Linked DNA regions of Caenorhabditis elegans. The protein of the gene in region 1 interacts with the protein of each later gene in a biochemical or structural test. Each region holds a gene or a part of one and is shown in the gene's direction. Other genes may lie near its edges.

The links.
Region 2: the proteins of kca-1 (region 1) and klc-2 form a complex in vitro, tested with the Caenorhabditis elegans proteins (one study listed by BioGRID).

Annotation. Positions count from the first base shown.
Region 1 is NC_003279.8:4,753,659-4,769,845, reverse strand, and holds kca-1 (Kinesin Cargo Adaptor), read left to right. Parts: upstream 1-8,524; 5' UTR 8,525-8,538; coding exon 8,539-9,063; intron 9,064-9,112; coding exon 9,113-9,301; intron 9,302-9,352; coding exon 9,353-9,862; 3' UTR 9,863-10,026; downstream 10,027-16,187. Other genes in the region: kin-35 (Protein kinase domain-containing protein), read left to right, coding at 4,706-4,768, 4,967-5,089, 5,141-5,311, 5,482-5,715, 5,767-6,154, 6,215-6,402, 6,453-6,605; viln-1 (HP domain-containing protein), read right to left, coding at 10,362-10,802, 11,489-12,490, 12,540-13,425, 13,478-13,622, 13,667-13,826, 15,975-16,097.
Region 2 is NC_003283.11:5,569,514-5,585,700, reverse strand, and holds klc-2 (Kinesin light chain), read left to right. Parts: upstream 1-6,196; coding exon 6,197-6,314; intron 6,315-6,366; coding exon 6,367-6,683; intron 6,684-6,734; coding exon 6,735-7,654; intron 7,655-7,704; coding exon 7,705-7,813; intron 7,814-8,439; coding exon 8,440-8,598; 3' UTR 8,599-8,964; downstream 8,965-16,187. Other genes in the region: CD4.11 (MAM domain-containing protein), read right to left, coding at 1-148, 474-519; pas-6 (Proteasome subunit alpha type-1), read left to right, coding at 1,367-1,516, 1,563-1,755, 1,805-1,875, 1,925-2,054, 2,105-2,343; glb-6 (Globin-like protein 6), read left to right, coding at 15,188-15,317, 15,363-15,446, 15,491-15,592, 15,869-15,962, 16,011-16,153. UniProt on the Caenorhabditis elegans protein: Kinesin is a microtubule-associated force-producing protein that may play a role in organelle transport. The light chain may function in coupling of cargo to the heavy chain or in the modulation of its ATPase activity.

The DNA of each region.
Region 1 (16,187 bases):
CAGGAAGTCTTAATATCACAAAAAGACAAGCAACGATAAAGTGAATGAACTAAATTTTATGAAAAAAGAAGAAAAATGAGAGTGACAGCTCACTTTTATAGTCCTTGCGTAGGAGAATCACGTGTATTCAGCTCGACCCACGGCCCGGCGGGGGGTACATGGACGAGGATTCTCTACCGTATTCCAATTTGGCTGACTGCGTGCTCAACGTTGAATACTCAGTGTAAACTTTCGTACACCGTTGCGTACTGCACAGCGCGCATTTTAATTGACGACATTTCGCGAAAATTAACAGAAGATTTTTTTCGGAATTATAGAGCTAAAATTGAAAAAACTATCAGATTTTCATCGAATTTGTGAAGAATCGTAAGTATGAAGATTTGTTCTTCACGATATTCAAGGAAAATCGATATTTGGTTTTTCACAGACAAATTCTATCGCATTTCACTCGACGAGACCCGAAGAACTCGGGGGATGTCCAACTGGGGGGATTCCCAACTCGGGGGATTGGCCACGCCCACAGAACCGTGCCTTACAATACGCCCATTTCTGCAACCTCCGCACGGTTTTGAATGATGATTTTCTTCATTGTTTTTTGGGGGAGAAAAATCAATTTCGACTCTAAAAACTTCAATTTGAATTGTTTTTCTTCGTTTTTTCAGCCATTTTCGCAAAAAAAAGTATTTTTCAACCGTGACTTGTTAATTCGCCCTCCTTAATTCGTGTATTCCTTTTGTTAATCTCTTTCCCTCTCATATTTTATTAATTTTTTTAATTTCTAGACTTCGTCGAATCGAGGGACCATCAAAATTGCACGGATGAAACAAGGATGTGCTTCTCCAGTCCACCTACGTGAGTATTATATTCTCAAATTGTAGAAAGTAGGAAAAAAAATTGATTTAAGAACAAAAATTGAAATAGTTTAACAAAAAATTAATGAAATATCTTCGGATCGAACATAGATGGACTTATACAGGCATTGAAATCGTTGAAACAGCTATAATTTGCTGTCACTGCTCTTTTGAAGTCGGAATTTCTGTATAGTGGCGGGCGATCAGTTCTTCTTCGCAATAACCATGTTCTTTTCGATTGTACGTCTCTGTGAACGTTAAAACTCCAAACCGTAGACTTCTCAATTGAATTGTGTAGAATTTTGTAATTGGTATGGTGGAAAAGACGCTAGAAATTTGATTTTTGTTCACTTTTCCGTATCCATTAAGAGAAAAGTGTACCTGTAGCATTCATTTAAGCCAAAGGCCTCTAAAAACTAAGCGAATCTGATAATAGACGAGATAAAATCTTTTTTCATTTATATATCAGCGATGTCATTATGAAAGTTCTAATTTAAATTTTTCAGATCCGCCCGAGCTGCTCATCCTCCAAATTCTTCCGTTTTCATGACAAATTATTGTTTTTTTTGTTGAAATTATGTAATTCATTAAATGTAATATTATCCTTATCTGTAAATAATTATCATGATCAATAAAATATCGCTCTTAATGTTCAATGAATAGCTTGCAAACCAATTTGTACAATTATTTCATTGAACAATTTCCGCCGGCTCTGAAAAACATTTCATGGCAATTTTTCAGGTTATCTTATTCGAATTTTTTAAATAGAACTCGTTCTACGTTCTTTACTTCGTCTCCTCTCGTGTAAATTGTTCTTTCCTTGCAAATAATCGATTTTTACGCGTCCCCTTTCCGTGTAAATTGTTGTTTCACTGCGAAAAATCGATTTTTTAAAAATATTTTTCTTTTATTCCGCGAAAACGACTCAAAAACCGAAAAAAACAATTCAAATTGAACTTTTTAGAGTCGAAATTGATTTTTCTCCCCCAAAAAACGATGAAAAAAATCATCATTCAAAACCGTGCGGAGGTTGCAGAAATGGGCGTATTGTAAGGCACGGTTCTGTGGGCGTGGCCAATCCCCCGAGTTGGGAATCCCCCAGTTGGACATCCCCCGAGTTCTTCGGGTCTCCACTCGACGGCAGTTGCTGATGAGCTTTTTTGATCGACGTTAGGGCGATAGAAGTTTGTTGATAAAATGAATGAATAATATAGAGAGCCGTGCCGCCAAACCGCAAGTGTCACAATTTACGTGCAAATGTGATATTTTAACGCAAAACGCAATAATTATTAAGTCCCAAATTTTTCCTGCGATTTTCTGCTAAATTCCTAGTTCTGAATTCGGGTTAAACAGTCTGATATATTCATGATTATAACAATAACAAAAACGAACATAATAATAAAAATGGAGAACGCAGAAAACCAATAAATTGCAAAACAACAACTGATATTAGAATTGACGACGACCACGGAAACCGCCTCAATCTCCACCTTGCCCACCACGGAAGCCACCACCTCCGTCACGTCCTCTGAATCCTCCTCGGTCGTCACTTCTACGGAAGCCACCACGAGCTTCTCTTCTTCCTCTGAATCCACCTCGGAAAACACCACGACTATCCTCATATCTTGGACGCTTCGAGGCTTCAGTTGTTCCCCATTCCTCGTTGGCACGCTTCAGATTTCTGAAAATATATCAAATTAGAAGCATTAAATTATTGAAATCTGTACCTCTCCCGATTCATCACAATCTCTCTATCCTTCTCCGTCTGATTTTCAACTTCTTCAACTTGTCCAGTAGTAGCACCTTGCTTACGAGTAGCATTCTCTCGAATTTCCTTCACCTCTGTCTCCTCAGCATCCTGTTGCCCCTTGACAATCGTACGTCTTCGAATAACCCGTTTTTCGCTTTCCTACACACGGTGCTTCTTTAAGTGCTTCTTCTTGTCCATATAAACTCTCAGTCTTAACAGTTCGTCTAGAGTCTTCGTAGTATGCTATAGAGAACTTCTCCCTCATCGATTCCTTCTTCAATTTCGACGAGTTCCAGGGTCACTCGGGGTTCGATGGAGCCAATGTCGGGATGGTTTCGGTTATTTGAAGCGATCTCCTCAGTAGAATGTGGTGTGAACCGGCGTGTCATCTGGAAATCATTAAAAATTAGGAGCGAATATTTCGAAAAAAAAAAATTTTCCCAAAAATGTGTCGATTTTCCACTGAAATCGAACAAATAAATATGAGATACGCGAGCTTGAGTCGCAATTCTTACTAATTCAGAACAAGCATGTTTTTCTTTATATTTGAGTGCAGTTTCAAAAAAAATAAGCGTCAAATTTTTGAGAAAACAATTTTTTGTTCAAAAATGATCGAAAAAGTGTTGATTTTTCGCTAAAATCGAAAAAATAAATATGAAATACGCGAGCTTGGGTCTCAAATGTTACTTTTTCTGGTTAATCATGCTTTTCTTCATATTTGAGTGCAGTTTCAAAAAAATTAAGCGTCAAATTTTTCAGAAAACAATTTTTTTGTTCAAAAATGATCGAAAATGTGTTGAGTTTTCGCTAAAATCGAAAAAATAAATATGAAATACGCGAGCTTGAGTCTCAAATCTTTCTAATTCCGAACAAACATGTTTTTCTCCATATATTATCGAACAAACATGTTTTTCTCCATACCGAATGCAGACATGCATTCGCTACGACGGCACTTGCTGGACCTGGAAAACTAGACTGAAGTAATGCTCTTATATTGGAGAGGTGGGAACCAGAAGATCCTTACAATATTTAGTAAAACAACTCACTTTTAGACGTTTTCCGCCGTTTCGCGGCTCACGCGGTCGATTTTTGCGGCGATTTAAGTCCTTTTACTGAAAATATTATTTTAAATTCAATTATTAACGAAGAAAACAAGAAAAAACGACGAAAAAACATAAAAAAACATAAAAAAACACGAAAAAACAAATAATCGATTTTTACGCGTCCCCTTTCCGTGTAAATTGTTGTTTCACTGCGAAAAATCGATTTTTTTGAAATATTTTACTTTTATTCCGCGAAAACGACTCAAAAACCGAAAAAAACAATTCAAATTGAAGTTTTTAGAGTCGAAATTGATTTTTCTCCCCCAAAAAACAATGAAGAAAATCATCATTCAAAACCGTGCGGAGGTTGCAGAAATGGGCGTATTGTAAGGCACGGTTCTGTGGGCGGGGCCAATCCCCCTAGTTGGTAATCCCCCCAATTGGACATCCCCCGAGTTCTTCGGGTCTCTGAAATTCCTCTTGGGGAATTCAAATATTTTTTCCCGTCTTTTTTGAAAATTTTCGAGGCGTTGGTCGAGCTGAATACACGTGAGAATTGGCGGGCAAAAATTAAAATTCAATATTACGCGCTGTGCATTGGGGCGCGTCTGCATTTAATTGGGTACGGTATTGCGAAAGCTGGCAGACCTAGTCGATTTTTTGGTCGAGAATATTTTCAAATTTAGCCATTATTTGAAGTTGGGAGTCGAATAAAATAATTTATTGAAATAAAAAAGGCGTTAGTTTTCTAAGTGGAAAATCGTAGAGCAGACCTTGATCTTTGCCTGCTGCACAGTGAAATAGGTATTTTGTAGGCAAGTAGGTATTTAGGTATGTTTTTGCTTGCGTGGAAGTTTCAAATTGAGTGCTGATTCATTAAAATTTATGAAAAAAAAAAAGAATTTCACGTGCTCTAATTTTTAAAATCAATTTTTTAATTTTTGTTCGAAAAGGGCAATTCAAAAATCTCGTGTTTTTCTCTACTCGAAAATCGTCATTTCTGAAGTTTAGTTCATAATTTTGAAATTCCAAGCAGTTAAAATCGATAAGAAGCTGTTGTCATGAGTGAAGAAGACGATAAACCGGATAGACAAGTGGAAAGTATTCGGTTGAATATTGGTGAGGTACGGTATTCTCGAATTATCCTGACTTTAAGGTGCGCGTGTTTTCTGAAGGCAAAATGGCCTTCCACGATATGAGTGACGTCACACCATGTGGCGACTGGGGCCGCGAAAAAGTTGGTGGCCGAGCTTTTAAGGCCAACCTAAGTTTATTTAAGGACTTACGAGTAGTTTCAAAATTGTTACGAAAATGTTTTTCAGGAGGTTGTAGAGGAAAAGAGCGGGAAACTTGCGTGGCTCACAATTCGCGAGTTGGGTAGAGGTGCATTTGGTACTGTGTACCATGTTTCAAACAAGTCCACAAAACAAGAAGCTGCACTCAAGGTATGTTTTAGAAGAGCAGAGAGCAGATATGAAAATAAGAACAATTTTTAGATTGAGAGAATGACTGCCGGAGACAATTTACTGAAGATTGAAAGAGAGATCATGGTGGCAATGCAACACGAGCCAACTGCAATTCATATCTATGACGATGGCATTTACAAGGATTATAGATACATTGTAATGACATTGTGTGGTCCGGATCTGCAGAAAATTGCCGAATTGGTAAGATTTTAGTTGTGGAGCTTCTCTAATCTTCCTAGATCTAATTCCTAGAGCTTCCTAGACCTATACTTATAATTTGACTGAAGAAAAGAAAAATGACTTTAACTCATGAGATGTATAAATTAGAAAGTTCAGAGATCAACGCTGAATCTTTAACTCATTAATTCCAGATGAACAATAATTTCAATCAAGATACCATCATCCGTGTATGCATTCGAACTCTTCTTGCTATCAAAACAATGCACGAATACACCTATATTCATCGTGATCTAAAGCCATGTAATTTCGCCGTTGATTTCAACCCAAATTCTCTTCATGTTTATTTGTTTGATTATGGAATGGCTAGAAAATATGCGACGAAGGATTCCGGTAATAAATGGCAATTGCGACGTCCGAGAAATCCGGTTAGTTTTTCATGGAAGATTTTTTCGAGTTTTAACATTTAAAAATTTCAGGCGCAGTTCCGTGGGACAGTGAGATATTGTTCTCTGAACATGCACAAACGAAAGGAACTTTCTCGTGTTGATGATCTTTGGTCATGGTTCTTCATGTTAATGGAGATGTATGCACCACTTCCATGGACATCCTCGAATATTCCAGAACGGATTGAAGCTTTGAAAGAAGATCATTTGAATGAATATCTTTCAAAAGATTCATTTCTTAGCTCATTCCTTCCACTTGTTGAATATCTCAATTCTGTGCAATATGCTGATCGTCCGGATTACATGAAGATCTACGACATTCTCTATGCCAAGTTGACGGAGATCAATGGAAAATTGTCGGGACCCATGAAATACGATGTTGCCAGAATCAATGCTTTGGTTGCTGAATTGGGAGAAACTGGTAAGTTTGTAGTGTCTAATAAATAATTTTCAAAATATTTAAAAAAAAATAAATTTTCAGCTCGCCCAAAGGAGTTATCCCGCATGGATGATGAATCCACCATTCAGAAGTATCTTTTGGCGTCATTCGGGAGAGCCGGAGTTCCTGGTGGCAATAATTTGATCATGGCAGAGTTGGTGGACTTCTTCGCCAAGGACGTACCACTCAAGAAGGCACGGGAAGAGAAGACGGATGATAATAAGAAGCAGGTACTTGGGAATAGGAAAATTTAATTTTAATTTTCAATATTGCATTTCAGAAGAATGCAAAAGTCAAGAACAAGATGCTTGGTAAGCCGAAACAGCCAGGAAGTGGTGGAGCTAATAGTGGAGATGCAAAAACTGCACAATCGAAACTCGGATCCAAAATGAGTACACATAAGAAAGCAAAGGCATCGAAGAGAAACAAGTGATTGGAACTAGACATTTCATTATCAATAAAGTTTTATGTGTTCTTCTGTTGTCTTATTTGTTGAGAAGACAAACTTCCATTGAAAAATTAAAGGTTCCAAAATGTAAAGGTGATGTAGTAATATTTGAGACTCTGCTCAAAAGCTTTTTATATGATCTAACAAGGCAATGTGCATAAGGGAAACATCACAAAAGTCTCCCAGAAAGATGTTATGATGTACAAAGTTCCAAATACTACTCTTTTCCTCGATCTAATTTGAATTCCGCGTGCAAATGATTTTTCAGATTCTCGGCCGTGTTCTCCTCTCGGGCAATGAACTTAAAAAAATTAAAGTTTCGGAGTTTATGCGATTCTTCGAATACTCGCATGATTATTTGTTTTTTCTGTTGAAATTTCAGAGTTTAAAACACATTTGATTTATTTCTAGAAATAAATTACTGGAAAATCAACAAAATACGGGATTAAATTTTAGCAACTTAACTGGATTTCAACTAGAAATGAAAAAATACCAAAGAAAAATGTTCTGAGCTCATGTAATTTCTTATAATTTTTTAAAACAAATTGGGAAGATTTTCGATTTTAAATCGATTTTTCATTGTCGCAAATATTGAAGGAAACTACAGTACTCTTTTAAAGACGCATGTGCCAAATTTTCCGGAGGTAAAGTCGCGCCGAGACCTGTGCAATGAAAGGCGCGTATTTTCGTATTTTCGTATTCTCATTTCACTTTTAGCCTTTTTGAATCACATTTTTCTCTTTTTTAGGATTAATTTTCGAAGCTTAAACTTAATTTTTTCGAAAATTTATTTATTCAATTTCCTTTTTCCACTTTTCCTTCCTTTTTTCCCAATTATATTTTCTCTTGCAGCCGTTCGATTCCAAATGGTTCGACAAGACGCCGGAGTGATGATCGGAGAAGATGCTCTGTCCTACTGCTCAGGGCAGAGCACTTCCGATTCATCATTTCGAACAATGAAATCGACTTCATTATCGAGCTCCTGGCATTCTATGGCATCTCCACACACTTCTGACGTACAAGGCGTCTCGTTCTTCCGGCCATTCAGCTGGTTTGTATGGCGTCAGACTGAGAAGGACTTGAAGAAGAAACAGGACAAAGAAACTGTCGATGAAATAATGAAGTGCTTCCGGAACAACGACGTCGACGGAATGGAGAAGTTTGTTGAAAAAAAGACTCGCGAGTCTGTGTCGTCAATGAAAAACGACGAGTTTTGGTGGGATGACGACGAGATTTCGTATTGGAAGCATCGAACTACTCCAGCACAAGATGAGCTTCCTGAGGATCTAATTTGAATTCCGCGTGCAAATGATTTTTCAGATTCTCGGCCGTGTTCTCCTCTCGGGCAATGAACTTAAAAAAATTAAAGTTTCGGAGTTTATGCGATTCTTCGAATACTCGCATGATTATTTGTTTTTTCTGTTGAAATTTCAGAGTTTAAAACACATTTGATTTATTTCTAGAAATAAATTACTGGAAAATCAACAAAATACGGGATTAAATTTTAGCAACTTAACTGGATTTCAACTAGAAATGAAAAAATACCAAAGAAAAATGTTCTGAGCTCATGTAATTTCTTATAATTTTTTAAAACAAATTGGGAAGATTTTCGATTTTAAATCGATTTTTCATTGTCGCAAATATTGAAGGAAACTACAGTACTCTTTTAAAGACGCATGTGCCAAATTTTCCGGAGGTAAAGTCGCGCCGAGACCTGTGCAATGAAAGGCGCGTATTTTCGTATTTTCGTATTCTCATTTCACTTTTAGCCTTTTTGAATCACATTTTTCTCTTTTTTAGGATTAATTTTCGAAGCTTAAACTTAATTTTTTCGAAAATTTATTTATTCAATTTCCTTTTTCCACTTTTCCTTCCTTTTTTCCCAATTATATTTTCTCTTGCAGCCGTTCGATTCCAAATGGTTCGACAAGACGCCGGAGTGATGATCGGAGAAGATGCTCTGTCCTACTGCTCAGGGCAGAGCACTTCCGATTCATCATTTCGAACAATGAAATCGACTTCATTATCGAGCTCCTGGCATTCTATGGCATCTCCACACACTTCTGACGTACAAGGCGTCTCGTTCTTCCGGCCATTCAGCTGGTTTGTATGGCGTCAGACTGAGAAGGACTTGAAGAAGAAACAGGACAAAGAAACTGTCGATGAAATAATGAAGTGCTTCCGGAACAACGACGTCGACGGAATGGAGAAGTTTGTTGAAAAAAAGACTCGCGAGTCTGTGTCGTCAATGAAAAACGACGAGTTTTGGTGGGATGACGACGAGATTTCGTATTGGAAGCATCGAACTACTCCAGCACAAGATGAGCTTCCTGAGGATCATAAATACACTCCACATCCATCGAAAGGATTCAAACTCCCTCCTCGTGTGTTGAAAGCAGTCCGATTCGAATTGGATAACACTCCGGAAGATCGTCAGCCACGGGTGAGAATATTTATTTTAACAACTTTATGCTAATTTTGTTGTTTTACAGCCGTTCACACCACTTTACACCAGCACGCCGAAGAATCCTGCAATCAATGAGGACGGAAGTGACGACGAGTACAGCTTGGTTCCATTGAGATATTGTGACTCCAACACAGTCGCTGTGCCAGCTGCAGTCTTCAACAACACTTCATCGATTCTACTTGATAATGCTGTAATTATGACAACGTTGAACAAGGTAAATTTCTTGAGTATATAATTTTATTGAACTAAAATCTTATTTTTTTAGAGTCGAGAGGAAACTAATGAAATTCTGTGCAAATCATTGAACAGAGATTTCTACCAGCTGGCCTATGTCGACTCGGAAGACGCTGAGCAAGACCACGGAAAGCCCGAACAATCAACTCAGAATCCCCTTTGCAACACATATGTCGTTCATTCGTCAGAGGAAATGTCATCTGAACCAAGCAGTTCGACCATCAACCTAGATCAAGCCAATGTTTCTGATGATGCGAGGAGCGCCATTCTGGGATTGGATCGTGTGGAAAATGCCATTCAGCGTGCACTTGCCAACCAGAATGGGCCAGAACAAGGACTCGCTAGGCAACTTCGAGAGCGCATCCAGAGCATCAAAAAGAGCATCGACGAGATCTGCAGCGAATGTCCGAATGGCCCGGAAATCGACACTGATCGTGTGAGCCGGGAAAGTGACCACGACGTATCCGCCGACTTCGAGGATTCGGATTGGCAGCCGCATTTGGAATCCGATGTCGGAAGTTTCGACGAATGCATGCTGTAAATAATATAAATTTATATTGATTAACTTGTAAAATACTCACCCATCCCGCTCGTCTTAAGTTTATAATTCCATGTCAAATATTATTATTCACAAGTGATCACATGTACTATAGTTTTATTGCAATATATTTTATTCTCGTCAAAAATAAAGACGATTATCACTTTAAATTTTATTTTGAAGGCGTCACTGTTGTAGGTCAGAAAGAAGCGGAAAATGGATTTGGATAAGCCGAAGTTGTACACTTACGAATGCTCCATAGCAATTTTTCCATATTTATTCACTGAATCATGCATTACATTTACTTTAAAGTTTCTTTTTTCTATTCAGATATTGCTCTTCATGCTATATTATCTGTTTAGTATGTAGTAATCGAAATCCAGTTAAACATTACACGCTTTTATTTATCAGGCAATCTATACAGGAGATAAAATGGCAAGGTGATAATACAGTAATGACGGTTTCACCGCCTCTAGTGAGTCAATATAAATAAAAAATATGTTCAGAATAGTCCAACTCTTTTCCGTGCATCGTTCTGTTTCCAAGTTTTTTGAGCATAAAATTCGCTTCTTTCAATTTTAAAAACTTTCATAAAATCGTCGTCAGTCAAGTAGCTCTCCAGACGTCTCATGTCCATTCCAGCTGGAAGACTTGTTCGTTCTTTCAGTTCTTCGAGTGAAAATGTTCTACAACGTTCTTTGAGAAGATCCGAAACATCGCGTGGTGGATCCGAGGGCTTGTCATCTTCAACTTCGAACATCTCCCATTTCATAAAAAGTCCTTTAAACTGCTCAGGTTCTGCTCCTTTGTACACAACTTTTGCTGGTCCGCTGCGATCTTTCCAGTATTTTTCAGCGACTTTCAGTGCAAATGTAGTAATAACTTCTTCTGACCATAACCAAAGAGCGTCTCCAACATCAATTAGAATGGTTTCTTTCAGGACCTGAAAAATCACAAATCAATATCGTAATTTGACCAGATTTTGGCATGCCTTCTTAAAGGCGCACGAATTTGTTTGAATGCGTCTCGACGCGAGAAAAAGTTTATGGTAGTTTTTTTCTTTGCAGTTTTAAATAAATGTCTTCATTTTTTCAGCGAATTTTGTCGCTTTCGTTTCATTTGTGTGATAAAATTGATTCAAATCAGTTTTCAAACCACATTTCAACTTTTTTAAATGGAAAATTTTTTGAAAGTTGAGTTCAAAAAATTAATCTGAAAAATGAAGCGAAAACGACAAAATTCGCTAAAAAAACGAATATAACCCAGAAGCTAAATTTTTCGCCAAAAATACGGTACCCGGTCTCGACACGATACATTTTAGTTAGCTGCAAAAAATGTGCGCGTTTAAAGAGTACTGTAAAATTAAACTTTTGTTGCTGCGGAATTTTCATCGATTTCTTTTAAAAGTTGTTCAATAAAAACATGTTTTAACAATTAAAAAAATTGATTTTTCCAAATTGAGAAAAAACTATGAAAAATCGATTTAAAAAATTTCGTAGCAACAAAAATTTGAAACTACAGTACTCTTTAAAGGCGCATACCCTTCTGTATTCAGCGTCGTGTCGAGACCGTGTACCGTATTTTTAGTCAAAAATCGCAGAATTTGAAAATAGATTGAAATTCACAAACCTGTTGTGAAAAAGTGAATGCACAATTCTTATGCCCACTCAAATGATTTACTTGCTCCGACTCATTATCAAATAATCTCCAAACTCGCATCGCCCGTTTTCTTCCATTTGAATTCACCCAGCTCCGCGACTTTTTATCACCTTCTACCTCAATTTCTGCAGAATTTCCCTTCACTCCTGCCTTCTGCCTCATATATTCAGCGTGTGCCAACACAAAATGCACTTGGTCTTCAGTGCAATTTGCTCCACACACTACACTTGATGGGCCAAGAATGTCTTTTTCCACTTCAATATAAGCAGCATGAGATCGAAGCGGCGAATTCAAATCATCAATTTCTCGAAGACTAGTTTCCCGGGAGTTCGCGCCAATAACCACGTATCGTCGGAGCGGCTTCATCTCCGAAATATCACTGCTAACCATGAATTTTCCATCGAAAAGTGCCAAGAATAACGCAGGCTCATTTCCATCAGCAATTCGGATTCTTGGACTATTATCTCTATCAATTTCCTTAATTCGTAGAGCACAAAGACCATGTTGTTTTGGAGTTGTGTGCTCGCCGAGCCAATACCAGAATGCGATTCTTGATCTACCAGTTTCCCGTTCTTCTTCTTTTCCCGTTTTAATCCTCCGTACTCCTGACTTTTGAATTCTGTATTTCCAACGAAGAACATAGCATCGTCTTGAATCAAAATGCTCCGTAAATTCTTCGATACTCTGCAGAACTTCTCCTCGGAGCACCCAAAGTGATCGATCCTCGCTGATTACATCATGAATTTTTCTATCAATCTCTTGATCTTCTAGAACTAAAATTGGATCCAATTCTTGCTCCTGGAGCATTCGTTCCACAAGATCAGCCACTTCATCATCTTGATTCACGACCTTCACATCTTCATACGTCTTCACTTCCGGATTCTTCTTCGAGATCAAGGCTCTAGGTTTACAAGTTGTCAAGACTTCACGAGTTTCAGGCCAATCCGAGAATTTTGCTTTGAACAGAGTGTCCTGAAATTAATAGGAATGTTTTTTTTTTTCAGAAATTTTAGACACTCACCAGAACTCCCTGATGAATTTTTCTTGAAAGCGTCCATTCTGGTCGTCCATCTTGATCAATAGATTCTGCATCTCCTAGAATAAATTTCCCATTTTTAACAGGCTTCTTCATAAGTTGTTTCGCATATTCTTGAGCGTAAGCTGAGCTAACTTTATTCGAATATCTACCCGTCCAAACGTAGATTTCACTTCCAAAATCAAAAATGAGCACTTCACTTGGTTTCATGATTTCATAGGAGAGCCGTTCCCGACGTGAACATGTTTCAGCAGTGTTATCGCCGGCGATTCGAAGTACTAAATTCAATTTGGCAACTGTTGTTTCGAATGGCTCCACTGATGATGCTTGATGATAATTATTATTCTCACTTGAGGATTCAGAATTTTCAGAGCAAAACAAGAGCTTCGACAGGGTACTTCTACTAGCTCCTGTCACTGTTACAATCGATTCTGCAGTGCAATTCAAATCTGATTTTCCAAGAATTTCAATGCACAATTGTGATGCTTTAGTTTTCTCCAGAATATTACTGTACAATCCTTCATACTTCATGAGATGCTTCTGATGTACAACCACAAAACATGCAACTTCATGAACAGAAGACATCGCGGGTGCTACAAGTCTCACATCGACATTCTTCGATCCTCGAACTTGAATTAACATTACATCTGGATACGGAGACACTTTTGTTGGGCTTTTCAAAAGTTGTTTTGCTCCCTGAATTGCTGCAATTGCCTGCTCCTGAGTCTCCAGCTTCTCAGGTTCTTCCTCTACAACTGCAAATGCTTCTTCGTCGATTTTGACAGCGTCCAAACGGATTCTTTCATCGAATGTCGATGATTTGTCGGATTTCTTTCGATTTGGAGCACGAGGTCGAGTCACTGTTTTTAAGCTGAAAAAATCCAGTATATTAAAGTTTAAAACATTTTTTTTGATACACTAACACTGGTGTTGCTTTTGAAGATATCGCATCCAAGTCAATATCATTCGAAGCAGTAATTTCAGAAATTTTCGGTAATGAAGAAGATGCTCCGGATGTAGTTGGATTGCTTCCGAAGAACTTCTTGAGCCCACTAGTGATGTCGCATGCTGAAAATTATCAATTTCAATGAGTATGTGCTTGTGAATCTCACGTTTCTCCTGCACAACTGGAAATGATTGTGGCCGTTGTTGTTGCTGATGTAACTGCTGAGCACGCTGGAAGATCGGAAGATCCTGAAGAACGTTCGCACTGGTTCGTCGTTGCTGCACAGCTGGCTGGCGTTCTGGACGGGATTTCCATTGCTCGGCGCTCTGAAAATGTTGGAATTTGAAGATGAAAGAGACGTTGGTAAAAATAATATTTTTTGTACTTTTTCGGCGCGAAAATTATTTGCCAAATAGGATTTCTAATTTTTCCAAAAATATTCTTCAATATTTATTTTTATTTTTTTATTTTTAGTGAAGCATTACCATCGTTTTGAGAAATTCGATTGTTTTGTGTTTTTGGTCAAAATTTCTGTTTTGTGATAGTTTTTTTTTCAAAAAATCGGAGAATTTGAAATTTTCTATTTTTTTCCGACTTTTGATTTTCCGATTTCCTGAAAAAATTACAAATTTTCAATAATTTCCGTTTTTCGGTTTTTTAAATTAAAAAAAAAATTATTAAAAGTGATCTAAAACTTTTTTAAAAAGTCTTTCTCTAAAAACTCACCAATCTAAAAAACATATTTATTCTTCTTTTTTTCAGAAAATTCATTAAAATTTGATAATTCTTTTTTTTTGTAAATTTTAAGATAATTTTTCCGAGTTTTTCGGCAAAAACCGTAGGATCTAATTTCTAAATTTCAACGACTAGCGGGCCCTGCGGGCCCGCCAGTTGTAGGGGGTGTAAGGCGAGTCCCCTTGCCGGGCGTAGGCTCTCGGCTTCGCCTCGAACCTGTTAGAGGGTTCGTCAAAATTTCAGTAGGTCAATGGGAGTCTTCTTGTTTTTTGAGTTCGGTTTGACCAAAAACAGACGCACCCGATGAATCAGTTAAAGCTGAGTTTTGATTGATTGAAGTTTGAGGAGGCTTTATATTAGGGGAGACGTACCCATATTTTGTATAAAATTGAGTATTTCTATTCGAATCCCGATTACTCACAAAAAACAAAAAAATTTGTCACTTGGTAGAATTGAACCAACTACCAAAATTTCTGCAATCATACGCACTAACCACTCGGCCATGCGGAAGACATCTCAAACTGGGATGTAGGGAAGAAAATTTTCTGGAGGAAGTCGTCTTTCGATTCCGCTTTCTTCAAATATGACTATTTAGGGAAAGACGTTCGAAAACCGTTTATCACTGATAAGCCAGCGGGAAACCTAATTTTTGAAAATTTTATTACAGGATTGTACTCATTATTGAATTCCCGAAAAGGAGACGTACAGTTGAGGGCTATATCTTGTACACAGACAGATGTATAGAAGAAAACAAGTTTTGGCCTGAAAATTAAAAAAAATAATATCTCTTGGCAGAGCATTGCTAACGCCACGAAACTTCATCTTCCATTAGATAAAATCAAAAACTATGAATTAAAAATATATTCCGCGAAACTTTAGTGGAAAAAATGTTCAGGGGACCCAGGAAACCACTCCCCCCAGTACAAAATTTTTGAATTATTTTTTTCTTGAAAAATTTTCCCACTGAACTTTTTACAAATTTTATATGTCTCGATGCGTCTTGATGAGACCTACGCATTTTTTAGAAAACTAAGAAAACTTGAAAACTGACCGAGTTATGATTGAAAAAGTAGATTCGCAAAAATGGGAAAGTGTGCAAAATTTTGCACTTATTCGTCTTGCTCGGCCGACTCATAGAACTTTTCTCAACTCTGAGTTAAAAATCGTGTTCAGCGTACTTTTTTACTCGGGGTAAGCAAAAAAATATCAAAAAAGATAAAGTAGAACTTGAGATAAAGACGAAAAACGGCTTTTTACGAAAAAAAATTTTTTTGGCAAAATGTCACTTTTTGGACTTTTGTTTTATCACAACTTTTTTCCATTTGCACTTATAAACTCAAACTTTTTTTCAAAAAATCAGTCTCTCTGAGTAGTATCTTGCACAGAAATTTGGAACAAAACCGAGCAAAACCCGAATTTTAATTCAATTAAAACATGGTTTTTTGGGGGTAAAAAGAGCAACAAAAAAATTTTTCAAACTGGGGAAAGCCGTCCTGGGCTCAATTTTGCTCCGAACTTAGTGCCGTTTTCTGCTCCACTGTGGGGCAAAATATTTCTAGTAGGATTTCAAATATTAGAGCATGAAGTTACACGGTTCAGGAGTTGTGAATGAAAACGAAGTGGGACATTTTTTCGCAAGCCAAAAAAAGCGTCAAAAAACGCGAAAAAGGGGCGGAGTCGCCACACTCGGCATTTATTAGAGGCTGCTTGGCAGAAATGTAATAAGTAGAAATACTCACATTATTCAACGAAGCAAGACGATCCTTGAGACTGATCTTCGCAATCGGAGCCACCTCTACATTGTTCTTCTTTTCAAACGTCGAATTCTGTTGAATCAGCGACTTTTGCAGTTGTGCGATCATCAAATGATCTGAAAATGAGAATTTAATGTGATGAATGAATGTATATATATATAAGGGCAATAAACTAAACAAGTGTGTCAGATTTAGGCA
Region 2 (16,187 bases), on another chromosome or scaffold:
GCGGAGTACGGTAGATTTGATGTGAGGTAGTCAAAGTCAATTGCATTTTCACTTGTACGTTGTAGGGATGAGACTCCGCGAGCTCTGGCTCTTCGAGATGAAAATTGACTGTACTGAGAGCTCAGGGAGTGACAAGCAAAACTGGTATCTGAATTAATTTGAAGGTCATATCTAGCTAAACTTTTGATTTGAATTACCGCGCTTTTGTCTCTAAACCACACCTATTTTTCTGTGCCGCACTTTGCATTTTTACATTTTAGACGCAAAATGGTTCTAATCCGTGTTCCAATTTTCAATATAGAAAAAGCCCTACAAAATGAGCGATTTTTCTAAAATCCCAAAAATTAAATTTTAAATTTTGAATAACCTCAAGAGCGACCATTAACAAATTTTCATGATTTTTTAAATAAAAAAGGACAGAAAAAATTTGGTAGAAAAAAAGATTTCAAATCCAAAACTTTTTAAAAACTCACTCAAACCATAAAGTAGCAATATCAAGACATATATATTAAGTACCATACTTCATGAAGAAAATAGTTTGAAAACATATAAATTTCGATTTCAAATCGCCTTTCTCAAAGTTCAATGAGCGTGTGGTATTGCGTACTCCCGAGAATGAATATGAACTACTGGTAAATTGCCTAATTAGGTACGGTGTTTCACTGTCGAGAGTCACAAGAGAAAGTGGGTCAGTGGGTAAGAAAAGTGAATGAGAGGAAAGATATTTATTATTCAATAGACATGATTGAAAAATGAAACTAGAGATTTTCAAAGACAGAGCTTTGTAGTATAGCCTTGCCAGATTTAAACAGGAATTTCTAAGATATTGAAGTCAGGGAATCGGCCACCACCATCAGTAGACAACATTTTAAATTTTAAATATTCAATTCCTCAAAAATTAGATTCAAAATTTAATTCGACGTTTTCAATCACGTTTTCGCAATTTTCGTTCAATTTCGTGTAATATTTACTTGTTCACAGTTCTCTTCGTGGATTTTGAGTGTCTTTTTTTCGAAATTATTTTGAGGATCTTACGCAGTTTTCACCAGAAGAATTACATAATTCCATGGAATTCCATGCCTGGAAATTTCTTTCACTTTTTGCCGCCAGGTATACGGTAAGCAATTGCGCGTAAAGTGTGGTGTATGCGTACTCGCTTATTTTGTCATCCTTTCAAATTTAGAACTCATTTCAGAGGTTTTCTTTCGACTTCTAAATATTTTTTCTTTGTTTCTGTGGATTTAAATAAACTCCATATGTTTTTCTAACTCTTGGTTCATCTTGAATCACACTCTCTGCTTATAAAACTGCAAAAAATGGCTAAAAACTTCAATAAATTGTAATTAAGAGCTTTTAGGTTTGAACCATGTTCCGCAACCAATACGACGGCGATGTAACAGTCTGGAGCCCACAGGGACGTCTTCACCAAGTCGAATATGCCGTTGAGGCGATGAAGCAAGGTTCGGCAACTGTTGGAATCAAGAGTGAAACCCACGCTGTCATCGTCGCCCTGAAGGTTGGCGAAACAACATGTTAATTTCAATTAATTATATTCGTTTCAGAGAGCGCAAAACGATTTGTCGTCTCATCAGAAGAAAGTGTACGAAATTGACACTCACGCTGGAGTTTCCATCGCTGGTCTCCTCTCCGATGGTCGCATCTTGGCTCGCTACCTCCAAACCGAGTGCTCGAGTTGGCGTTGGGATTACAAGCAAGCGGTTCCAATCAAGAAGCTCGCTGAATCTATGCAATTGAGTAAGCGAATTTTGGAAGCAATTTTCTCAAGACATTGTTCTTATTTCAGAACTTCAAGCCAATACACAATATTATGGCCGTCGTCCATTCGGAGTTGGAATTCTGATTGCCGGATATGACGTAAGAACATCATAAATATAATTGTTCTTTTAAATATTTTTTTGTTCAGAAAGATGGAGCACACATCATTCAAACTGACCCATCTGCTGAAGTCGTCAGCATGCATGGAACTTCAATCGGAGCAAGATCTCAGTCTGCGCGCACTTACCTCGAGAGAAATGTTGATAACTTCGAGAAATGTATTTATTTCGGAATATAATTGATAAAATTGAGCAATTTCTTTTTTCAGCAACTCCGGAACAATTGATTGTCCATGCTCTCCTTGCTCTTCGCGACACACTTCCAGCCGAAGAAAACCTCAACGCTCAGAATACGTCTATTGGAATTGTCGGGAAAGATTCTCCATTCAGTCTTCTCGAAGATGCTCAAGTCGCCGTTCATCTCAACCAAGTTTCCACACATCCACGCACAACTGGCGGAGCAGCAGCAGCAGCAGCTCCAGGTGGCGCCGAACCAATGCAAATGTAGATTCTAATTTGAATCACAGACCATGTGAATTACTTTCGTCTCCATTTCTTTTTTATGTGACCCGTATAATTTATCGCCGGTTAATCTCCCTCTCGTTCCCGAATTAAATTATTTTCCTGCTCCAAAAGATTGATTACATATTAATTTCCTTTTTCCGTTCAACAGTCATGTATATGTTGCAGAAAGAACATTAAAGGAAGCACTTCTCGTCATTCGCGTCCATGCCTTCTGTCCATTAATGATGGATGTCTGCGCCGTAGTACACCACGCACCCGCCGTCTTCCGCTATTCCCCGGCGAGCTGCTCCACGGCATTATTCCATAGTTCTTCTCTTCAGTGTTCCATACACTACTACATCACTCAAATTGTAAATCAGCGAAGAAAGGGGAGCAAAAGAAGAAGAAGGGGAGGAGTGTGTGTGATGCAAGAGAGAAGAGTTTCAAATTTCGTCGAATTGAGATTGAAATCTTCTTTGTCGCAGTCAACTCTTTTCTTCGACCCACTTCTGCCTTTTTTTGTTTTTCGATTGGAGCTCTTGACAATTTTTATACATTTTTCTTCATTTAAAAATCCACAAATAGGTAAAAAAGGGAAGTAGGATTTACGGATCTACTGGAAGTTGTTTTTCTAACAAGCGGTTTTGCTTATTATGATCACGAGCAAAACCAAAAATGTTTCCCAAGCGAACCACAATCAATGCCCGACACCATTGTGTGTGCCGCTTCTGAATGAACTGAATAGAATTCTCTCGTTTCTTCCACCAATTCTTCTTTCATTCCTTGTGCCATTTGTCTGACAAGCGAAGAGAGAAAAGAAGAGCGCCCTTAAATGAATTTGTATCGAGCCAATGGCATCGGAGGGCCATGCGGCTCTGTGTGGCGTGCGTTTCCTCACTTCAAGCACTGCCGCCACCAGCACCAGCACACAATGTTCTTTTCGGCAGGAGGCGAGGTCTATTCAGCACTTTTTCTTCACTTTTAGACCAAGTTTTCGAACACTTTTGCACCGAGTGCACACATTGATTCGTGGAAATGATTTTTTTATCCTTGAAATTGTTTTTCTGAAGAAAATATATCCTGTAAATTTAAAAGTTCAAGTGTTTATTTAAAAATAGTCAATTTAATTTTGGAAAATAAATTTTTTTTAACTGCAAATAAGCTTGTTCGGTCGACTTATAGGCTGATTTACTCATAAAAATTTCAATTCAATGGAAAATATTATTCATTTTTACTTAGACGTCTAAAAAAATACATTTTATTTTTCTTTTATTATATTTAAATTTATTCAAAACATGGTGCAATAGAAGCACGAGCTACAGTAAGTTGCACAGTATGCCGGAAATTGTTTTCTTTAGACGTCTATTATTTTTTCGTGAACAGTCAAACCCCGCTTTAAAGGCACACGATCTTTTTCTGAGTGGGTCTCGACACGATCTCAGCTATAGTGATCACAACAAGTTCCAAATTTCACAAAATTGCTGGTCTTACTTTACGAGCATACTTCACGGGCAAATTTGAGCCAAATAGAAAATTTCTGATTCCCAAAAACAATTTAATATGCCCTTATTATGTAGATGTTTATAAATGGGCATTTCTGTCGAGGGTTTCGCCACGAGAACAGCGAGTATAACTGTATTATGCAATAGTGGCTCATAAATCGACACGAGCTACAGTAACTCCTTGCCCGCGTGGTGAGACCTTGCGCGTAAGATATGGCGAAAATTATCATTTACAGACGTCTACGTAATACATGCTGAACCAAAATATTGTTCGATATTTGACACTAGAGATAAATAACCGTTTTTAACTATAACAAACAGGCCTAAACTTTGATTTTTTGGTAGAAATATATATGCTTTATACATGCACCTCGTAATAAAATGCTATTTCCTGAACTTTTCAAACTCTTTAACTCCTTCTTCTGTTCATCATAAATCTAAACTGAAAAGTTTAAGACACTAATCCTGGAGCCGAATACGAAAAAGTGCTCGTGGAAGCTTTCAAGCTGGATACCATCATGAATTTGGCCGGTTCTACTATTCAGGCATATCGCCAGTAAGTTATATTTTTAATTTGAAATGAGAATTGGAATTTAGAGTGTTGAATCATTTTCTTATCACATGCATTACTCATCAAAAAATGTTTGAAAGTTATTTCCGCTAGGGCTGTAACAAAAAATGTACAGTACATTCTAAGCGGATACCCTAATTTTCAAAAAATTTCAATTTGCATCTACCGTAAAATAAAAATAAAAATCGAAATCTACTTTCCTAGTCCTCTAATTCAAAATTGCAAGATCTTATGACAAGTTTTCAGAAATAGTGAATATATGAATCAAAACTCTTTGCCCAAATTCTAATAATTCATGAGAAGTTTATGTTAATATGTTTTATTTTTTGGTTTTTATATTTTCTGAAATCCCACCTTTCTCTTGAGAAACAAAGCAATTTCGATACTTTTTTGCATATGAAGCTAAACAAATCCTAGATGTATTCTTCATAAAAACTCAGGTGTCCAAACATTGCAATTAACTATGAAAGGATGCATCTTTCCAATTGTTTCGCAATTCTTTCTCGCCTCCGTCTCTTGCTCTCTCATTTCCTCCATGTTGGACGGACGATCAATAGTTTCTATGTTGTCTCTAATATTTCTATGATCTCTCATCAGTGGCTGCGCACGTCTCGCTGTCTATTCGCCGACACGACGAGAGCGGGCTTTCGGTTAATACAACCAAACACTCTTTCCGAACAACGTTATGTTTTACTTGTCCACACTTTATTAGCATCTTTATGTTCAGAACCATTTCTTATGAGCTTTTGCAGGAGAGAAATTATTAGAAAGTTAAAATTTGGTTTCATTTCTGCTTATATTGCGAAATTTGTACCTATAGTGTTGCACATATTTAGCTTATCTTTGACATATTCCAAAAAGTTTCTCAGTTTTCTAAAAGTTTTTCCAAAATTGTTCTAGTGCAACTCAACCTAGCAAAATCAAAGAAATATATTAGTTCTACCACGAAATGCTATTGATTTTCAAAAATTATAGCGCATAGTGCAGCCTTGATTTTTTCAAATTAAAAATTTCAAAAACCGAGTAAATAAAAATTACAAATTTTTAAAAGAAAATATCAATCCACGATGATTTTTATTTTCTCTAAAACGTGTTGAACATTTGGAACATTTTTGCTTTATTTCAACTTATTTCAAAGCAACGTTTCGGTGTAAAATAAGTTTATCGTTATTTTGTGAAAATGTGGAATGTCATTTTAAAGGCACATGCGTATTTTCTCAGGGGGTCTCGCCACGATCTCCTGTATTTCAATAGCAAATGGCAGGGCTGTTATTTAAGACGCCCTCCTCAATCTTTGAGAGCTCATTTTGGCGTTTTTTTTAACTTCAGCCATAAAATTGAAACTGGATAATATTTACCTAAATAATAGATTTTCCAAATTCTTGCACCAAATAGATCTATGGTATAAAACTGTCAGGCTGATTTTCAAATTTTTGCATTTTTTAGAATTCCAAAGTGAGCAGTATTCATGGAAAAATATTTTTTGAATCTAGTTCTACGTTTTTGAGAGAATGCAAGATTTTAATTAATTTTTGTTGTGCCATACTTTGGCATTATTTACATTTAAAAGAAAAAAAGGGTTAATTTTTTCTGATAAATCTGAAATTAAAAAAAAAGACTATCGCAAAACTTATTGAACGACCTAATAGCTATGATCTACATAGATTCAACTGTTTTTACTCACTGAAAAAATTTTCTCGTTAGCTACCAACACTTCTCGAACTTCTTCCAATTACATTTAATAGATTTAAAATTTCAGGCGAAAAATCGAGTCGCTGGCGAAAATGTCAAACATGTCGCAGGACGACGTGACGACGGGCCTACGTACCGTTCAGCAGGGACTTGAAGCTCTTCGTGAGGAACACTCGACAATTTCGAATACTTTGGAGACTAGTGTCAAAGGTATGGCTTTTTTTACGACGAGTTGAACATTTACTAAAATTCAATCATTTAGGTGTGAAAGAAGATGAAGCTCCATTGCCGAAGCAGAAGCTTTCACAAATTAACGATAATTTGGATAAGTTGGTGTGCGGAGTTGATGAGACATCGTTGATGCTGATGGTATTCCAACTCACTCAAGGAATGGATGCTCAACATCAGAAATACCAAGCTCAACGGAGACGCTTGTGCCAGGAGAATGCGTGGCTTCGTGATGAGTTGAGTTCAACTCAAATCAAACTTCAACAGTCGGAGCAAATGGTTGCTCAATTGGAAGAGGAGAACAAGCATCTTAAGTATATGGCATCAATCAAACAATTTGATGATGGAACTGTAAGTTGAATTTTTCGAGGAGCATTCTTAACTTATTTTGTTTGTTTTCAGCAAAGTGATACTAAGACATCTGTCGATGTTGGACCACAACCAGTCACAAACGAAACTCTTCAAGAACTTGGTTTTGGACCAGAAGACGAAGAAGATATGAATGCTAGTCAATTCAACCAACCAACACCAGCCAACCAAATGGCGGCTTCTGCTAATGTTGGATACGAAATTCCAGCTCGTCTTCGCACACTTCACAACTTGGTCATTCAATACGCCTCCCAAGGTCGTTATGAAGTTGCAGTTCCATTGTGCAAGCAAGCTTTGGAAGATTTGGAGAAAACGAGTGGTCACGATCATCCAGATGTTGCCACAATGCTCAATATTTTGGCACTTGTCTACAGAGATCAGAACAAGTACAAAGAGGCTGCAAATCTTCTGAATGAGGCTCTCAGTATTCGTGAGAAATGTCTTGGAGAAAGTCATCCAGCTGTTGCCGCCACTCTCAACAATCTCGCAGTTTTGTTCGGAAAACGTGGAAAGTTCAAGGATGCTGAACCGCTTTGCAAGCGTGCTCTTGAAATTCGCGAGAAAGTTCTTGGAGATGATCATCCAGATGTGGCCAAGCAACTCAATAATCTTGCTCTTCTTTGCCAAAATCAAGGAAAGTATGAAGAAGTCGAGAAGTATTACAAGAGAGCTCTCGAAATCTACGAGAGCAAACTTGGACCTGATGACCCGAATGTGGCAAAGACCAAGAACAATTTGTCATCTGCTTACTTGAAACAAGGAAAATATAAGGAGGCTGAGGAGTTGTACAAGCAAATTCTCACCAGAGCTCATGAAAGAGAGTTCGGACAGATCAGTGGAGAGAATAAACCAATTTGGCAAATCGCTGAAGAACGAGAGGAGAACAAGCACAAGGGAGAAGGTGCAACTGCCAACGAACAAGCTGGATGGGCAAAAGCCGCCAAAGTTGATAGGTATTATGATTTTTATTAGAAAAAAATAAATTAAACAAAACTGATTCCAGTCCAACCGTCACAACAACTCTCAAGAACCTTGGAGCCCTTTACCGGCGACAAGGAAAATATGAAGCCGCCGAAACATTGGAAGATGTCGCCTTGAGAGCAAAGAAACAGGTATGTAATGATGTTTTTTCTGCATTCATGGCTTCTCTATCTAGCACGCTTTACTGCATTTAAAATACAAAAGTTCAGAAAAAAAATTTAGAAGTTAGATATTAATGTTGTAAAATGTTGTATGCGTCCCCGATACCCCAGTGACAAGAATTTGCTTCATATTTACATGTATTTTTGGAACTTAAAACATTGACAACAGTTGTTTCAAACCAGGGGAGTGCGTCAAATTTGCCGAATTTGCCGGTTGCCGAACTTGCCGGACACGGTAAATTTCGAAAATTGCCGCACACATCAAAAATTCGACAATAAAATTTTGACCAAAACTATGTTTCAAACTAACCCGAAAATTAGATGCTGCCTGAACAATGTCTTGCCAACTTTTGAACCAAAATTGGCAAATACTGAAATATTGCACAAATCTGAAGCTCATTCAAACGAATTGTTTTTTAAAATTAAAGTTTAAATTTAATACGAAGCATATTCTTGTCCTCCCCAAGCCCCCATCAATAACAATTCCAGTAACAAAAAAAAACACATAAAACGCTTATTTTTGTATTTTAGTGATAGTGATGTGCTTTAGAATTTGGTCACTCGTTTCCTCTTTTCAGTATTGTTTCCTCTTTCAGCATGAGCCATTACGAAGTGGAGCGATGGGCGGAATCGATGAAATGAGCCAGTCGATGATGGCTTCTACAATCGGTGGATCCAGAAACTCGATGACAACGAGCACATCTCAAACTGGATTGAAGAATAAACTAATGAATGCACTCGGATTCAACTCTTAAGAGCATCTCTTTGCAGCACTGACTGAAAACCGCTTATCGTTCTTGTATTAATAAGTGCTCGTTGATTCAAGTTCCAAATTCTGAAATTTTGTCTCAGATCTACGAAAACTTGCTTTTTTCTTCTTTCGTTGTGTTGTGCATGATTCTTTTTTTTTTGATTGATTTTTCTTTCTGCCCCATCCCCTCATTCACAAAATCTTGTTCATAAATAATAGGGTTGAATAATTGAATGTTTCCTTGTCCGCCCCCACCAACTTTTTGGTAAAGCTTTATATTGTCTGCTTCGAATTTTCTTTTCAAGCAAAAAAAAAAACATAATTATAACAAGCTGAAAAATCGTGTTGTTGTAAATAAAGGGTTTATTTTTGAATTCTGCTTGTTACAAGAAAAAGAAAACTTCAATTTCAGATGTCCGAATCTCGAAGAATGGAACGATCCGTTATGTATTGATTGTTGCTCGACATTGTACTCCGTCATCAAGCTTTACACTTCTTCGCAAAATTCCAAAAGTTTACAAGTTCTCATTTATTTATATGTATCAAGTTCTAATTAAACACTGCTTTTCTATTTTTGTTAGCTATTCGCATAATAACATTTTTTTTTAATTATAAAAATGTGAACCCGATTAAATTGGAAAAACGTTTCGAGAAAAATTATAATTGCAAAGATTCATGATATTTATTCAATAAGACTTGAAAAACATTTACCCTGATATTCAAAAAATTAACAAAAAACAACGGTCAAGTTGGTGATTATGGGAAGGGGTTTGTATTCTATGAAGAACACGGAGAGATTAACATGAGCGGTACCAAACCCTGGTACCAGGGCTTCCTGCTGGCAGGAAATTGTCAAATTGATAACCCATAATCTCCGGACCGAAGTGAAAACTTTAGTAGTCAACGTTGCTTATATACCCAACGATTAGCAAGCGACCGACGTTTCGAAAGAAATGACAACCAAACATTGGGCGGAATTTCGTAATGTTTGCAATTTGAGGTGTAGTGGTGTATAGCAGTGGAAAAATGATTAGAAAACTGTAGTAGGCACACAAACTCCAAACAAGTCCTGACGTTGCTGGAGTTGACAATTTTCTGATAACACTTTTAAAAAACCGGGATAAAAGCGGTTAACGTAGAGGAAAGGGGGAGCAAGGCTAATGTGGAAAACGGTATATGCTTAGTTAGGGGTAGCCGACAAATTGTGGAGTATGTACTACATCGACAAAAATAAATATCACAAAGCTTAATTCAAGAGATTATTTCGCTGAAGTATTCAAAGCGTCGAAAAATATTTTTTATTATGGTGACATGAATTTATGATTTAATTTTTTAAAAATATTTTTTCTCCTTTTAAAAATATGAAACCCACTCCAATAATATTTAGGTTTTTCAAATTTTTAAAGAAATAAATTGTAACTTTTATTTAAGAAATTGCGAGGCGCGTTTAAATCTGATACTCAAATGCGTAAAAGAAAATTGTAATTGAAACAAAAAACGTGTAGAAAAACTGTGATGTTAGATCATTTCACTCGGGAATCGCTCGCCCACTATGGGGGAGTCTACGCAAGGACAACGCAAGGACAAGAACAACATTCTAATGGAATGGAAACGATTGCCCGACTGCACCAATTCTAGTTCAAGCGAACAATGATAACTTTTGTATTCTGTATTCCTTCACGTCTCCCAGCGAGCGTAATAAATTATTATTATTATTATTTCATCATTATAGGAAATTTTTGAACTCTCCTCTGTTTACAAATACCAATTTAACAAAGACTGTATTACTGTTTCAACAAGAAACAAGAGCTAAACGTCACGCGTAATGACCGTCTATTTCTCTTTCTCAATGACTAATGCATAGAGTGCCATAGATATGTGAGAAACTGTTTTCAAAAAGATCAGTGAGATCCAGTGATCTCGTGGGAGGGCACTCAAGAAACTGAGAACTATTTGTATATAAATAGAGCGAGGAATGTGTTGTTTTTTGTTCGTAAACCATCCCTCTCGCCAGTCGACACTTTCCATGTACTTTGCTCTTTCACTGTAATAGATCTTTAATCAACATACATTGTACCATTTTGCAAATCCACATTTCGATATTTGTCATCTTTGCTAGATTGTTGCACGAATGAGAAAAGTGTATCTTGTCTTGTCCTTTTTGTGTGTCGGATATGCTTTCAAGTTACACGCCACTTCAACAACAGTTAGACAGGGGAGTAGTCAAGTGACATCAAAACTTATCCAAACAGATTTTGATTTGTGATACCACTTGTATGATTTGGCTCTGATATAAAAATATCATTGAAAAGTCACGGAGAGTACCTTTTTCTCTATTCTGGTTACCATCAGTTGCTCCTAACAACTGGTCATGCTTCATGCAAATTCAAAATGAAAGTCTAATGTAGGCGATATTTTGGCATTTTTTCAAGCATGTAAAATGATAAAATGTAAGGTTTCTCAGTAAAGGCTCTCGCCAAAAAGTAGAAATGTTAAAAACGTACGCAATAATATCGTGGCAGGCACTTTCCATGCCTCCGTGACATCATCATGCCTGCCTACTTACCAGGCGAAGGACGCCACGGTAGGTATTCTTTTTGACAATTTTTTGAAGATGCACATAGTTGAATTAATTTTAAAAAATCTCGGTACTAGTCCTGAATCACCCCGCCACTTTTTTTTTTATTTGTGTATTATTTCCCCTCATTTTAATATTATCCATTTTAATAAAACGTGATGTCCATTTTCCATCTTTAGGCTTAGAAATGGTTATTTCCTAAGCCTAAAAATACAAAAACTCCACACGTTTTTATTTGAAAAAAAAAGAAAAAAAGTGGCGGGGTGATTTAGGACTAGTACCAATATCTCTATCATCTCCAAAGCTAAGCTTGATTCTTCTTTCCAAAAAAGTTTCCAACTAGTTAATTTCAAAAATATTTTAAATAAATATTTTTTAAAAATTAAAGATTGTTCCCCATCTTAGCTGAAACTCACACATTCGTACTAAAACGATTCTAACTTGGCAATTTAAAGCGAGTTTTTACCAAAGATCCAGTAAATAAATATCTCTGGAAAACCCTCACTTTTTTTAATAGAAAATTCCTTTTGTTTTTGTTTACCGTCATGAAAAAAGAAAAATCCAATTGTTCTTCAATTTTTTTCTCATTTTCTGGCCAGTATCCTGTCCATCAAATACGATACATTCACTTTTGTAGCATCAAATGAGTCAAAAAGACACACAAATCTATCAAAGGTGATATACGGAAATTCATTGCGTGCTTCTCGGTCTCCAACACTCTCCTTTTCTCTTTTTTTTTGCTCCAAATTCGTTCATCCTCTCTCCCTCTCATCAAATAACGACTTCCGTGAGAGCTCACATAAGCATAATTCAAGCGACAGGAGCTGGATGAGGAGGAGCACCTTTTCTCGTCTCGAGGCTTTCAATCTCATTTCTTTTTTCATCAACTAGAAGTCTGATTCGGACCCGAAGATTAGTGAAACGGATTAGTTGAGACATATCAGACGGCTGTGTACTCAGGATTTACTATATGAATGGGTCATGTGGTTTTGTAATTTCACACATTTTTTTCAGCAGAACCTTGTTCTTCCAGTTTTCACTAGTATTTTCAGCAAAATGATTGGCTTAACTGTGATGTACACTTTAATTTTTTCAAAATGACCAAAGCTTATAAAAAGACACCTAACAAATTGTAGATTTTTAAATTTCCAGTCAAAGGTTTGGTAAATTGCCAACATTCGAGTTCCATTATTGTTGTGCAATTTTCAAATACAGATTAAACCCAAATAACCAAGAAAGATACCCCGAAACTCGTTGTTTGATAAATTACGCACTATGTACTTGGTTTTATCGTGAGAACGTGCATTAGATAGAGAATAAATTTACATATATTCTCATCAAATATTTTCACTACCAGCATCTTTAATGATCATATCTTCTCAAAATAGCATAGCACCTCTCATGTTGCTCGAAATTTCATGTTTTGAAATTTTTCGTTTGCTCTAACAAGAGTGGTCTTTTTGTGGGGATACTGTGTGAAAATCAGGCCTGTCGTTTTTTTTTTACTTAGACCACAAATAAATGTGAACCTAGAGCTTATTTTAAGGTCAAATACTGAAAAAAAACAGAAATATCTTCCTGGGCATTTTTTTGATTATCGTAGTTGTTGATACTAGGAAAATTAGCGCTTGCGAGAAATTTTGGAAAATTATTAAAAAATACTATTTAAGTTTATGCACTTTCTCGGCACTTCTCCAAGCTGCAAGATAAGCCGAATTTTTCCAAACTCCAATTTTCGATAGAAAACAAAGTTGACATAAATCTCATTCACTCTCAAGGTAGTGTTCAATGCTTATATTGTCCAATGTTGCGAGGTTCCTGATGGGCACACCAAAAATTAACTGTGATTACTTCAAGGTTTTCCAGAGCACACCTTTTTAACTTTTAGCTTACTTTCAAACATGATAAGTTAGATTTATCCACCTCGTAAACTATTTTTTTAATTCAAAATAACTCTGCAACAATTTTGGCCTGGTTTTCTATATTTGAGTTCAACGAGTTAAATTAAATTCGGACTAAAAAAGGCCACCTCAAACATCCAAAGCCAATTGTGACTCATATTTAAATTATTTAGTTTTTATTTGATCTAGAAGATTTCTTTCCCCGCCATCCCTAATATAAAAGAAACCAACCAATCGAGCTCAGATGTATATTGATATCACCCTAGAGAAAACCTTCTCTCACAGAAAAAAGAGGCGAAATTAACTCGTTGGCCTGCACATTTCCCCCACCTAATCTTCTTCTCTCCTTACGCTCACTTTCAAGGCTTGATAATTTCCGAAAAACAGACAGGCTCCTGCTGCTCCTCTTGTCTGCTCAATTACTCGAAAGGGTCCTCTCGTCTTCTCTTTCAAAAAAGTCGTTCTTTTGCCCGCCCTATGTCTTTCAGGATAAATAAAATAGGCCCGTCGGTCTTGTGTGTGTGTGTCGTTGTTTAGTGTGGTGTTACGTCTTCTTTTTCTCCATTCCCTGCTGCATCTCCTTTCATCGCCATCGTTGTGACGACGACGTAGTCTTCGTTGTCTGTTTCTGCTCCGTTTAATTCCAATTTACTAGTAGCTTCACCTCCTTTTCAAACTCTGCAAATGTCTGAAGATTTCGGGTTTTTATCTGCCCTGACTCGTCTTGTCTAGTCTACGGAAAATCGGAAATTCGCTTGCAGTGTCTCGTCGTCTTTATTCGGAAACGACGCTTACAATTGGAAATTTCCGATTTGCGAAGTTCATCATGTGATATTGTTCGGGGTATACTTTTTTGACAAGTGCCATCTTGTGATGCTATTTGTTTTTGACATTTTTTACTATCCGAGCTGAAGTGTTTTTGCACAAGATCCTATTAAGTTTAAGCTCACAAGTCGAGGAAGGTTTTATTATTTTTCTTTTCTTTAACGGTGCATTGACAGCGAAGAAAGTTACCGATTCCTACTTGAAAAGGTTTAGTGTACTGATCAGGTGTCCTAATAATATAAAAAGGATAACAAGTTTTGAGCTATAAAACCCCTTGCCAAAAGACTTACCAACAGGGGTTTAGCGTTTTTCAAACTTCCCAAGCGGTTCTAGAACACAAAATCTATTAGCGAAACCCCATAATATATGCATTTTTCCAAAAATCATATTATTCAGACGTTTAAATATGAGCATTTTCGGTCTCGCCAGGTTTCGCCACGCGGTCAACGACTTACTGTAGATCATGCCGATAAACTTCTTTCAGTAACTCGTTTTCCGCGTGGTGAGACCTTTGCGCGTAAGATATGGCAAAAACTCACATTTTCAAACGTATACGTGATAGCTAAAACGAAGCGTGGAGTTCAATTTATATAGCTACTAGATTATACAATTCGCTGAAGCTCAAACTCCTAAACCTGAAACAGAGAAAAAGTTATAGTACGTTAAGTGCATTTCTACTAAAAAACCAAACTGTAGGAAAATCCAAAAAAAACCACATGTGTACATAAAAAATTTCTCAAAAGTTTTGAGAAAACATTATAATGAGGGGGGTTGAGCTGGTTGAGCTTGCTATGACAAATTTGAAATATCGCTTCGAGACATTGTGACTACCGAAACATTATTTTCTTGAATTCTAGAGTCCTTAGCTATAAAAGTAGTCACTGCTGCTCAATCCATTGTGCAACCCTTCACTTTCCGGTTCTTTCAACTCGGTTACTTCTTCTTTTTTTTCTGTAAATATCTCTACGTCTATCCAATTTTCCATATTTTTACTCGTTCACTCTTCAATTCGGAGACTTTATCTCTTTTTCTCTCTCACTCTTTATTTCTTTCGCTTTATGGTCCTTTTGTAGTCTTCTAACCCTAGTCAAAATACGTCATCAAATGAGCCATTCTCACTCACTCAACCGCGCATTCTATCTCTCTGTTCATTGGCGTATCTCGTCTCTTCAGAATAACATCCTTCAACTTTTTCGCCACCATCATTGTCAATTTGAGATTTAAATATTTTCTATTTTCTTTCAAATTTTCACAAAGTTAACATTCCAGAGACTTTAAAATCACAAAACATGGGTAACCAATCAACTAAATCAACACACGGTACCACACGGGTATCTCATTCAAAGTCAGCTCATCATAATTCAAGTAGGGTCACCAGTGACGTCATTCCAAGATCAGCTTCAGCGATTTCTTCTCATGGTGAGTGTTAGTCTAGAATTATGAAAAATAAACTTCTTTTTTCAGAGAGATTTTTCTCTGATTCCCAATCATCCTCACCTCCGGCAGTCTGCCCAGTATCCGCTCCAGGAAAATATCGAAATTTTCCAGGTAAAACTGCCAATAAAAACTATTGAAATTAAATATATTTTCAGGAAAAGACGTTCCGCCAATTTGTCTAACTGATGAATACAATAATTCAGACGATGAGGTTTTCTGTTCGACACGGACTTCAAAACAATCACCTTTGGCTACAGGTAAGAGTTTTTATACGGAATAATCTGTTTTTCTAATGACCGTTTTCTCACTTTGAAAATATATTTTGGTTGAACTATGTAGTTTTTAAAGCAACTGCTCCAAATATAATAAAGACGATCGAATTTTTATGTGGAAGGCACAAAACAAATAACAAAAACGGTAAATGCACACGGGCGCTGCGCGAGCGCCAGAAGACCCGGGGAAAAATGTCTAGTCCTCAATATGCTCAAAATCCCAAATCTGAAATCCATAGATTCAACAAAAAGTATCTTCAGGCTGTCCACGTCAGAATTTGGGCTCTCCAGGCAATCGGCGATCAGTGGATTCAACAAATTCGGATTTACTTGAAGCAGTCACACCTCGAAGCCAGTGGGTTTTATCACATTTATCCTTTTTATCAAAACATCTCTTTTCCAGTATATCTGTGAAACGTACAGTCAGCAGCGGGACAGAGCATGCTCCAGATCATGCGAATATGCAAAAGAGTAGCTCCTTGAAGTTTACCAGACCAGGTGTTCGGAGTGAGACAAAGGAGACAACTCCATCGACTAGCTCAAATCGTAAGATAAAAATATTTGTCAGTTAGAATGATTC